2 linked regions of the Danio rerio genome follow. The protein of the gene in region 2 purifies or fractionates together with the protein of the main gene of each other region. This does not show direct contact. Links are inferred from orthologs where the notes say so. Each region holds a gene or a part of one and is shown on either strand. Other genes may lie near its edges.

Region 1 (6,060 bases), on a different chromosome or scaffold from region 2:
ACCCAACCTCACAGTAATCTGTAGTGTTTTATTAATGTCAACACCTACCCCAACCCTAAACCCAACCTAACAGTATCCTGTTTGGTTTTATTACTGTATTTCTTTTAAACCAACCTTAGACCCAACCTCGCAGTATCCTGTTGTCTTTTATGAATGTCTACATCTATCCCAAATATTAAACCCAATCTCACAGTAACCTGTTGTGTATTTTGAACATCTACACCTAAACCTACCTTAAATGCAACCTCACAGTAACCCATTGTTTTAATAATGTCCTTTACACTTACCCCAACCCTAAACCTAACCTCACAGTAACCTGTTGTGTTACACCTACACCAACCCTAAACCCAAACTCACAGTATCCTGTTTTGTTCTATTTATGTCTAATACGCCTACACCAACCCTAAACCAAACCTCAGAGTAACCTGTTCTGTCTTATTAACATCAACACCTAGCCCAACCTCATAGTAACCTGTTGTATTATTTTAACGTCAACCCAAACTCAACCTCACAGTAACCTGTTGTGTTTTATGAACATCTTCACCTACCCAACACTAAACCCAACCTCACAGTAACCTGTTGTGTCTTGTAAACGTCAACACTTACCCCAAGCTCATAGTAACCTGTTGTGTTTTAATAATGTCAACACCTACCTCAACCCTAAACCCAACCTCACAGTATACTGTTGTGTTTTATTAATGTATTATTGTATTAATGTCGGTCACCCAGCCTACTTGTTGTTGAATTCCTCCCACTTGAAGGTCTCCGGTCTGCAGCAATACCTACTTGATTATGTTTTTTGGGGAAAACTAAAACTATCCTAAATGTCATTTTCCTTTTCTAAGGTTTGTAGTTCGTTCATAGTGACTAGACTGACTTTATTGCTGATGGCCAATATCTTCCTTATGTGTGCTGTACACAATTATTTAAACAAAACTTTTCTTCTATTATCCTAATTAGCAGCACATTTACTCCTTAAAATTTCTTAGCGTAGAGCCCATGTTGGAGGAAGCAAATTCTCTAAGTTTGAGTAATATTAACACTTATGCTTTCTAACTAACCTCTGTTGTTCACAGCCACCGCTAGTCCAAGCCATCTTTAACGGAGACCCAGATGAGATTCGTGTGCTCCTATGTAAATCAGAAGACGTCAATGCACTGGTATGAGTCAGTTTCTTCTGCTCTTCTCCTCACATGACTATATCTCATCCCTTTGTTACTTGCAGCACAACAGTCGAGGAATCCCATGGAAAGCTGCCAGAGATTTATATACGTTGGTTTCAGTAAAAGCAACAGGACACAAAATAGTTTTCAGGGTTATTCTTCTTCCAGGATATTTATTTATTCGGCTTGCCTGTCTGTGTCCGCCCTAATGGCTCCAGCAAGAATTAGCTTGCTGTCCGAATGTTTTATGAAGAGCCGCCGGTCACGATTTCAGGCTGGATGTGCAAACAGGTTCAGACAATGGACACGCTGAGATGTCACCACTGCCAGTGTGTGTGCACATTAGTGCTACAGGGATTTGTAAAGACTCCTTTGTTGTGCACCGCTTTGCAATGACAGACAATCAGCATATTCTATTAAGAAGTTAAAAAGTCTTAAAAAGGCCCAATTCTCTGTTAAAACGTTTTGACAAATTTTTATCTGCTCTACAATTCACATTAAATGCTTTTTCAAACTATTTCTTTGTCGAATTCATGCAGCATATTTCCAGTAGAAACAGGATTTTAGAGTAAAACATAAGGATCTTCAGGATTTTCTCAACATTCTGTAGATGTAAAATAAAGGTTAATATGAGTAGCCTATTCTTATTTCTTAAATACACTGTAAAACAAAACTAATCTACGTGTAGGTCTACTGTTGGTTAAAATGCTAAAGTTTGTATAGACTTGCATTGGTGGACTTGACTAGACTTTAAATTTGTCCTGGTTGTTAATTCACAGTATAGTGATGACACCAGAATACAACTATTTATAATTATGAAGTTGAATTATTATGTTTGAGACATTTGTCTCTGACAACATTATTAGACCTTTTTATTCCACTGGTAAAACGAAAAATTTGTCATTATCAGATTCCCTCTTGCATTATATTCAACATTATATAGGCTAAAGTAGTTGTAATATTGACAGTGTTGCACATTTATTCTCATGCACAACACTTTGTATTCGCTATGAAAAAAAAAACATATCAGATGCTTGTTATAATCATAACTGCACAATGCGATAGGATTATTTAAATGATGTGCGTGGTTTTGGTTTCACTTTCACTGGTCAGTGCGGCTCATGTCACGGCTGCTGTCACTTTGGAAAAAATAAAGCATACATGGAAATCATATTTCCCATGCGGCTCCCAAAAGATCACTTTAACTGAACGTTACTTACATCTATATTACCTGTTATTCACAGCCTATGTGAATTACAGTTAATATGTTTGTTCACTAAAAGTTGACATCATTCACCAGCACGCGTGTGTCCTCTCAGTAGTAAACAAACAAAATTTGTGATTTCGCAGCTGCAAATACCTCATAACATTAAGACAGAAATGACATTTTCGGGTTAATTATACCTTATGAATAAAGTGTGTGACACTTTTAACACCATTCGGAGGTGTTTGTGTTGCTGAGCAATATATATAAAACAACGTAAAGATTTGTGCGGCACCTTTATGCTTCGCCCGAACTTGAAATATATTTGGCTGAATGGTACAAATGCTGAATTGAGATCTTGTGGGGGCGTTGAATCATGATCGCAATCTTTTTTCGATTAATTGTGCTGCCCGATTTACATGTGCTAGTTGTGGTAGTTGTTTTTTGCTATAGGTAGTTGTAGATGGTATTGAAAAATGTCTGCAATTTTTCCAGACAAAAGTTATTATAGGTGCAAACTTACTGGTAGAAAATATACCACAATTTAAAGAGCTATTTACAAATTTACTACAATTGTAAAGGGTTAGCAAAAATCCTTGTAAAAATATTAGTAAATGTTTACATAATTGACTGTATTTTAAGCTTTGGTGAGCAAAAGCAGAGCAATGCATTATTTCACAAGCATTTAAAAAACAAATAGGCCCTAAAGATTTGAATGGCAGTCATGCGTTTTTCTTGTGTCATTTAAAATGCGTTTCATTCTGTGCTTGTTTGCTTTGCTTGTAGTTGGGGTCCTAAGCGAACTCACGTGGAGTAAAAGCCACAAAACCTTGATTTGATTCAACATCTTCTTTCCACCATCTCTGTCACCTGTCTCTTTTTCAGGATGCTGAGAAACGTGCTCCCCTGCATGCAGCAGCCTTCCTCGGAGATGCTGAGATCACAGAGCTCCTCATTGTGTCAGGTGTTTCTCTCTCCCTCCATTTCTTCATTACCTCAATTCTATAGTAGCTTTATAGACAACTCTTATAAAAAATGCAGTCCTTTAAAAGATTATGATTACTCAAGCTGAAAATTATGCCATTATCTATTTACAATCACATTGTTTTAAATTCTGTGTTTATCTATTTGGAATTGTATCAACATGAGGGTGAATGACAGACTATTTCTTTTGGGTGAACTATCCCTTTACTGTTCAATTAAACATTCCTCATTTTTTAGATATTAATAGTTTTATTTTTCTCTTTTACTACCTCATTTTAGGTGCACGGGTCAATGCCAAAGACAATATGTGGTTGACTCCACTCCACAGGGCAGTGGCATCACGTAGCGAGGTGGGGACAAACATGTTTCAGTGAGAACCAGATGTGTAATAATGTCACACAGCAGGATGCCTTTACAACAATGCTAATCATATGCAGCAGCTTCTGTGTGATTATAAATTAGGGTTGGGCGATGTTGACCAAGTTGGCATCAGATGATGTCTAATGTGAAACATCGAGATGGACGATGGCATCGTCGTCGTAGGGATGAATTACTTATGAATAATAAATTAATTCATAACAAAATAATAAATTGTAGCCTACTGTTTCAACTACCTGACCAGCTTGGTCTTTGTTTTACCCATAACCAAATCATACATAAATAAAGATAAGTTACACACAAATTACCACTTGACAATCACTTTTTCCGCATGAATAGGCAGAGTGGTCTGTGTCGTTATAATGGCTTCCACAAACTTGGTTGATAAAACAAAGTGCACAACCAACATTATCTGAGGTTTTTGCTAAAATTAGTAAGTACAAGCGTGAAAGCAAAAGATTGAAGCAGTGTACTGATGTTGTGACACATTACCTGATCGTTTCAAAAGACTGAAGAGCCGTTAGATAGAGACAAGATTAATTAAATATCATGTTTAGCAACTATAGTGAGACACAATTTAGCGGTACATCTTTAATAAACTGTCAGATGTGCACTGCTCTCTGGGGTTTTGTGCTCAAAGCACCCACTGACTGCCTGGAGCTCAGATGTGCACGTATGCTAGAGAGCATGACAGCGTGTGTGTGTGTGTGGTCACGTGATGTGCCTTTTCAACGTTATAGTGTGGAAGGAGGGCTGTTCAGAAATGCTAATTGAAATGCCCGTGTGGACGTGATTCGTTTTTGTTCTACAATTCCATTTTAAAACTAAGACGTATTAGTGTAAACAGGATCTAAGTGTGTGTTTATGAGCGGGTTGCTGCTGCGATGGGGGCGGGGTGGAGGATCGAGATGTCGGCTCAGCATCGTGATGTCTATCACACATCAGGGATAGACGATGGCATCGTCTGTCGACCCAACCCTATTATAAATGTATTTTTTTAACCCTTAATTCTGATTGGTCACATATTTTCCTACTGTCCCAATATAATGACATGATTTTCTTGAACTATTTTCAGGAAGCTGTTCGTGTGCTAATTCGTCATTCTGCTGATGTTAATGCTCGGGATAAAAACTGGCAGACACCTCTGCATGTCGCTGCCGCCAACAAGGCCCTGCGCTGTGCTGAGGTCATCATCCCACTACTGAGCAGCGTTAACGTATCAGATCGTGGAGGACGCACCGCCCTGCACCACGCTGCCCTCAATGGGCACACAGAGGTACTGCTAGTTGAAAACAAAATTGTGAAGTCCTTTTCAAAGGTGCACTAATTTCATTTTAAAGCGGACCTGCTATGCCTGTTTTAACGAAATGTTAAATAAGTCTCTGATGTCCCTAGAGTGTGTATGTAAAGTTTCAGCTCAAAATACCACACAAATAATGTTTAATAACTCTTTAAAACTGCCTCTTTTATACAAGAATAGACACACTGAAGACACCCATGATCAAGTAGTCTGGTGTGATGATGATGCAATAGCCCCTCCCCCTAAAATAGACTTGACACTGGGAGTTGATTCCTGTCTTGACACTAGAGAGTCCAGGAATTGACTCTTCTGAAGTTGATTCCCCATGCCTACTTCAGTTATTTTGAAAACAGCACACTGAACATTTACATGTATTTGAATAATTATCCATAAGTCACCATCTTTCAAGATTTATCTCACTTTTCTGGACACTCAAAGTGGTTTAATGAACAGTATAGAGTCCCCATCACTATATTAGGGCATTAGGTCCCACACAGACCACAGATTGAGCCTCCCCTGCTGGCCTCTCTTATATATTTTCCAGCAGTAACCTAATTTTCTAATGTGGTCTCCCATCCCAGATGTTGACCAGTTGAAGCAGTGAGCTAGCAGCCGACATTTTAAAGTCTTTCTGAGAAAACTTCCTGAGCACACAGTCCCTGTTGTTTGACACTAATTGTTGGAAATCCATTGTGGCAGCTCCACTATGGCAATTTTTAGATAGGAAGTCACATTCGCTCTGCTACATACACAATTTCCCACATGTTGTGAAAAATCTCAACAATGCAGAATGGGTTTGAAAGTCATTATATAAACTATGACACAAACACATAGAACACAATAAGGCTTCAGGAGACCTGTAATTACTGACACACTCATGCCTTATTGCCTGTTGAGACTGACACACGCACACTCAGTTTCTTAATGTTATTCACTTTCCTCTCTCTTTTTCTTCAGATGGTGAGTCTCCTTCTGGCAAAGGGTGCTAACATCAACGCTTTTGATAAAAAAGACTGCCGTGCACTACACTG
Region 2 (6,661 bases):
ATATATATGTATATATATATATATGTATGTATGTATGTATGTATGTATGTATGTATGTATGTATGTATGTGTGTGTGTATATATATATATAATATGTATATGTGTATATATATATATATATATATATATATATATATATATATATATATATATAATATGTGTATATATATATATATATATATATATATATATATATATATATATATATAATGTGTGTATATATATATGTGTGTGTGTGTGTGTATATATATATATATATATTTGTGTATATTTAAACATCATTTGGGAAATATTTGAAAAAGGGAAGAAAAAAATCACAGGAGGGCTAATAGTTTTGACTTCAACTGTATGTTTATCATTATATATGATAATAATACTATGCTATTAATTAAGCTATAATATCATGCAGTGTAGTTAATAAATAATTCAATAAATAAAACAATTGACATCCCTTCACAGTGATCATTTATACATATTTACATGTTTTCTTTTGCAGGAATCTGCACGAACAAAATCTCGATGACAAAGTTTTACCTCACAGACTTCTCCACAGTGGAACAGTAATGCATGGAGGCACACAAATTAATACATTCATCAGCTCAATAAGAAACAAAATAACATTTAGACCTAAACAAAATATGTGAATCACATGTGGGAGGCATAATATGTGCTTTTAGGGTTCCTCAAGGGATTAGAGTTGGGTAAAACTGCTTTAGAATATTTTTAAAAATGACTTTATTCTTCAAGGGACGAATAATAAAACTTTATTCAACAATTTATTCACGTACGCACATTTACCATTCACATTTATTAAGAAGAAAAGTCAACAAGTTGAGCTGGTGTATTAAAATAGCTGGACTTCTGTTTTTTTTTGTTTTGTTTCGTTTGTATAATTTGAAGTGTTTAAATTCTGTATTTTTAGCTGTTTACTGTACATTGTTTTGTTGTGCTTTTTATAAACTCATATTTTGTTATAAATATTCAGCATTTCATGAAAAGGACTAATATTTCTTATCAAATGGAATTGAGTTTGTCTTTGAGCTTGCTAAACTGTGCACTTTTCTGATGGACAAAATGTATGTTAATTGTTGCTTTAAAGCGGAACTTTTTTTAAAAAAAATTGTCCAAATGAAGTGCTGTAGCCTACTTGTTAATCTCATACATTGGGTATCATGACAGAAAAACTTATACTGTGCTCATTTTTGTATTTGTATTTTGTTTTATCTCCCATACTGCCAAAACCTGACAACATGCAACATGCCAGCTTCATTGCATTGACAAACATACACGTAAGCTGGTTATGCCCAGAACACATGAGAAAAAACAATGTATTTACATAATTTGAATAAAGTTTCAAATATAAAATGCCATTTAATATGAGATACAGAACATATGTAATATTTGTAAGCTGTAATATGATATATGTTTGATAGTAATTCCTGGACAGCCAGTTGTTGTCATGCTTTATCTGAACAATCCATTGAAATTTGTTTGGCTGTTGTCTTAAAATGCAGCAGAAATATATGTAACTTAATGAAATCAAGACGGTAGACTCATTTTTATAATAATGTATTGTACTTTTTTAATTTGTGATGTCTTTTTTCTCTTGGTAATTCAGTTCATCTATTGTATAAACTATTTGCAGTGGTCATCACTTGGTGGACGGTTCCTGATGTTTCCAACTAAAGCATACAAATAAAAGCAATGTAATAAAAGTAATGTATGAAATCATTTTTTTATTAATTCATTTTTTTATTGCAATAACAACAGGCAATTTTAAAAGACTGAAATACAATCAGATAGAAGTATAGCACAAATAATATAAATATTTTTTCAACAAGAGAAAAGGGACAATTTTAAAGAAATATAGTAAACGTAAAGCAAAAGAAAGACAAAGAAGAAACAAAAATAGATGAGAGGGCACATGAAAAAAATAGACAAATTAATGCAGGATATCAAATAAAGCACATATTTTATAAGTTTTAACTGCTTTCTTGTTATGAGAGTCTGTAGTGGTTTTCAAGTGCAGTTGTTATTCTCATTTGGCTTACATTGAGTATATTTACATTTATGAATAAAAAAAACTTTATAATAAATAATATGAGGTTTACAAAAAGTTGAAATAGTTTTTTCTTTAATATAAAACCCCAAAATGACATGTAAAAAGAAAAGAAAATTCACCACACACCTTTTGGAGAGAAGGCTACGCGTCAAGCAAACCTCTGTTGCCACCTCGTGGTCAGTCAGTAACTTGAGAATGTTTTTATAATAAGCCGAATGGAAGCAACCGCAATTGAATCACTTTAAAAAAAACTTTTTTTAATAAGCAGGCTCTTGCTAAATTAGTTTTTCAAGTTTACTTTGAGAACGCGATGAACAGAATGTAACGACTTTGCAAGTTCCATATAAAATCTGGCCTGCGATTGGCTGATCATCTTGTCAATCATCACCACTCTGTGTGACGTAGAAAGACTTCCTCTTCGCGTCTTCCATCGACTGTTGTTCTTAAAATGGCGCCGTTGGACCTGGATAAGTATGTTGAAATTGCGAGGCAGTGCAAATATCTACCAGAGAACGACTTAAAGGTGATTGATCTGAGTAATTTTATGTTTCTCTTAGAATATTGGACATGCTAGCGATTGATGTATTTATAAACTCGTGTTGGTTGTGGCGGAAGGTGTTAAAATAGCAGTGTGTCAGTGCAATGCAGTCGCTGCGTATGAGTCCAGTCTATTATCTTATGTTCCGGGATTGATTTCATTCGTATTTTCAGAAATAATCGTATATAACGTTACGACCGTAAGGACAGTTGGGCATAACAAAGTTGTGTAAGGGACTATTTTCTTGCGGACACATAGGGTGGCTAACTTCTGTTGCTATCATGCGAACTAGTTTGAAACGCCCATTTTATGCTTTCCATCATCAACCTTGTTAAATCTTAATTCATGACATCTGCGTCTTTGTTAGCAGGTTTCAGGTTTGATTAAATCGTCCTCCATTCGTTTGTTTTTAAATATAATTCTTGTACGTAAACAACTGGGCTTCTGGATCAGTTCATAATGATGCAATGCAACGTCTTACCAGTTTCATCCAGTACCGCCAAATATGACACAAAAATAGCAACAGTGATCAAACAAATGATTATACGATGTTGAAATAATGTGGCTTAGGAAAAAAAGCTCATTTTTAAATTAATAAATGTGACCTTAGATGCGCCGCTAGATCTGCTTCTGTCACCATCGTTGATAGCATTCACTTGACAAACTTGTTCAAATCTTGTCTTCATTTCTATTGCTTTGACAGAGATTATGTGACTATGTATGTGACCTTCTGCTTGAGGAATCAAATGTACAGCCAGTATCCACTCCAGTCACTGTATGCGGGGACATTCATGGACAGGTGTGTGTGCAGGCTCCATTAATGCATCCCTGGTATTGATGTTGAGCTGATGTCGTGTTTTTGTAAAAACATGCATACTGACTAAGCTTTTTTTTTTCTTTTATAAATAGTTTTATGACCTATGTGAACTCTTTAGAACTGGGGGCCAAGTACCAGATACAAACTACATTTTCATGGTGAAGTATATTACAACAATAATTTTAATTGATGATTTGTGATTAGTACTGCGTTGGAAATTGTTCCACCATCATCTATTGAGGAGACATTGGTATGTTTTCTTTCATCCAGGGTGACTTTGTTGACCGAGGATATTACAGCTTAGAAACATTCACATATTTGCTAGCACTTAAAGCAAAGTGGCCTGACCGCATCACACTGTTGCGTGGCAATCACGAGAGTAGGCAGATTACACAGGTCTATGGCTTTTATGGTAAGGCTGCAGAAATCAGAGATTTTGAAATATTTTGTTTTGAATTTACTTGGGATTTTAATTGTTTTGGCTTTCTGTCTACAGATGAGTGCCAAACTAAATATGGAAATGCTAATGCCTGGCGATACTGCACTAAAGTATTCGACATGCTCACTGTTGCTGCCGTAAGTGTTGATTTTGGAATACCTATCTGTCTGTCTATCTGTCTGTCTGTCTATCTATCAATCACACATCTCAACATTATCAATATTTGTTTTGGTCTTCTTACTAATGGGCCTCACTCAGGAAACACATGTTTTTGTTTAAATCAAATAATTTTAGGATGTTTTTGTTTAAATCAAATAATTTTTGGATTAATGAAACTGTTTATATTTCTAAGTATGAATTGGTATAAAAGAAATGTAGGAAACTATACATCCAGTTATTGTCTTGCGCTTATCCGGAGCTAGGTCATTGGGGCAGCAGTCTCAGGAGAGAACCTCATACTTCCCTCTCTCTGGGCACTTTCTCTAGTTCCACTGGGGGATCTTAAGGTATTCCCAGGCAAGCGAGTGACAGTTCCTTTAGCGAGTCATTGGTCTTCCCCTTAGCCTCCTCCTGGTGGGACAAGTCCAGAACAGTTCTAGGAAGCATTCAAAATAGATGTCTTGGCCACGTCTCTCCATGTGGAGTAGCGACTCTACACTGAGTCCCTCCTAAGTGATAGAGCTCCCTCACTCCATCTATAAGGGTACCCCCTGCCTCTCTGCGGAGGAAGTTAATTTCGACCACTTGCACCCAAGATCTTGAATTTATAGTCATGACTATAGGGCTGTGTCCGAAATCGCATATTTCCCTATTATATACTATGTGGAAAATCAACATGTAAGTGGAGCAGTTTGTCTTAATTCATATTATTTGGAAAAAACAGTATACGAGAAGTACTTGGAACACCTCTTGCTTCCAGTGAGATTGTGAAGTGTGCATCCGATAACCTCTACACTATCCTATGCGCGCTGTTTGTGTTGCTCTGTAATAACTCTTTCGAAACGCTAGCTGGCAGTGAGGTTTTTATGTTCCTCTGTGTCGAGTTTCTTCACTGTTTTTTTTTTTTTCGCTACCTCAATGTAGAACAGGGGTCTCAAACTCAATTTACCTGGGGGCCGCAGGAGGCAAAGTCTGGGTGAGGCTGGCCCGCATAAGGGATTTCACAAAAAAAAGTCCTCAAATGTCATTATTAACAGTTTTAATTATTTCTTCTGAACATGAAGTGTCCTGAACATTAATAGAACATTGAGTGAAGATTATGAACAGTTCTTCTGAACATGGCATCTTTTGCCTACTCCTTGCTGCCAGAGACTTGACAGCGCTTCTTCTCACAAATCTGAACCACATTTGGCTTTAGAGCGGAAGCAGTTGAGACCCTCAGTATGGCTTGGGGGAACTCACTCAAAACTTCCATTCCCTCACCTAAAAAAAAGGCGTATATGTATAAATAAAACACCCCCACCCCACTCCAGTCACATCAGTCTGTACCAGTCTGTATCTACCTATAATATATATAAGATGCAGGCTGTAGCTAGGTAGGTGGCAGGCTGCAGATAGGTAGCCAAGTGGCAGGCAGGGGCTGGAACAGCTTACCTTGGTTCTGGCCGGCGCGAGTTCCCTCCTAACACTTCCCGCCCGTCACAGCGTCTAACAAAGGGGCGGGGTGCGTGGTGACTTCACCGGCATCCCCGCCCCTTTGTTTACACGGCGGGCGGGGAATGCCAGTGACCGCTGTGTACGGATAGAATCAGCGGAGCGGGGAGCGCTCTCTCTCCCCGCTCCGCTGATTCTGTCAGTGTACAGCGGTCGGCGCGGGCCACAAAATATTGCACTGAGGGCCGCAAATGGCCCGCGGGCCGCGAGTTTGAGACCCCTCAGGGCTCGAAATTGCGCCCATTTTGGTCGCACATGCGCCCGAAAATTAATCTATGCGACCTCATAATATATTTGGGCGCATTAGTGCGACTGCAGATAATGGTTGTAGTGCGACCTGTTTTGATTTTTTGTAAAAACGTGCTGAATCGCTCTTCCCTGCCGCTAAATTGGTTCATATTAGCTTTCATTCACTCAAGGTATTCCGCTGTCAGATGACAGGAAAGGAGCTTTTATGACCACGGGAAATGCAAACGGCTGAAGAGTAAAGACTTAAAGCACACAGGTTTGCAAACCCCACCTAAAGTTGAGGTGCAGATGAGAGCGATCATGACACGTCACGTGGTGAATAATGATCCACCAGCTGAGATCAATTGAGTACGCGCTTCTTGGAGAAGGCGCCCGAATCTCCATGCGTCGCATTCACTGCGTGTTCAGCGCAAATGTCCGCTAAAAGTCAAATCTAATACTGTACATATCATCGCCAAAGAAGCTCGCCTTTACTAAGTTTACACTGAAACTGCGGCTCATAACAAAGAGCGGTATTTCGCCGGTGGTCATCGCAAGAATCCTGCTCTGCCTGCTCATAAATTGGGTCAGCTGACTCGCCTGCTTTTCCACTAACACAGAAAGATGAAGATCAGCTCAGACTGAACCTTTAAATTGACACAAACTGAAACCAAAACTTTTAAAGAGTGATAGAAGTGAGACTTTACTTTCTTTCTTTTGTCTATTCTTTTTTTGAGGTGTATATTATTTTTGATTTATTTACTGATGACTGCTTTGCAGCTTTCATCATTGAATTGAATGATTTATTATAATCTTTTGTTTGTTTTGTAGCAGAAATATTATTTAATAAATTGATGTGCATATAAAAACAGCAGTTCAAAATAAATATTTCTTACTGCAATGCTTCATTTTTGTTCGATGCAA

Evidence for each region.
Region 1: the proteins of ppp6c (region 2) and ankrd44 purify together in Homo sapiens (affinity purification with mass spectrometry; 5 studies listed by BioGRID and IntAct, counting the BioPlex papers as one, with this or other methods). This does not show direct contact. The link is inferred for Danio rerio from reciprocal best matches to the Homo sapiens genes PPP6C and ANKRD44.

The regions. Positions count from the first base shown.
Region 1 is NC_133184.1:33,817,415-33,823,474, reverse strand, and holds part of ankrd44 (serine/threonine-protein phosphatase 6 regulatory ankyrin repeat subunit B), read left to right. Parts: intron 1-1,076; coding exon 1,077-1,160; intron 1,161-3,252; coding exon 3,253-3,331; intron 3,332-3,630; coding exon 3,631-3,701; intron 3,702-4,804; coding exon 4,805-5,005; intron 5,006-5,986; coding exon 5,987-6,060. UniProt on the Homo sapiens protein: Putative regulatory subunit of protein phosphatase 6 (PP6) that may be involved in the recognition of phosphoprotein substrates.
Region 2 is NC_133180.1:32,596,016-32,602,676, forward strand, and holds the start of ppp6c (serine/threonine-protein phosphatase 6 catalytic subunit), read left to right. Parts: upstream 1-2,433; 5' UTR 2,434-2,510; coding exon 2,511-2,585; intron 2,586-3,303; coding exon 3,304-3,399; intron 3,400-3,509; coding exon 3,510-3,575; intron 3,576-3,687; coding exon 3,688-3,829; intron 3,830-3,913; coding exon 3,914-3,993; intron 3,994-6,661. Other genes in the region: myo1hb (unconventional myosin-Ih), read left to right, coding at 497-523.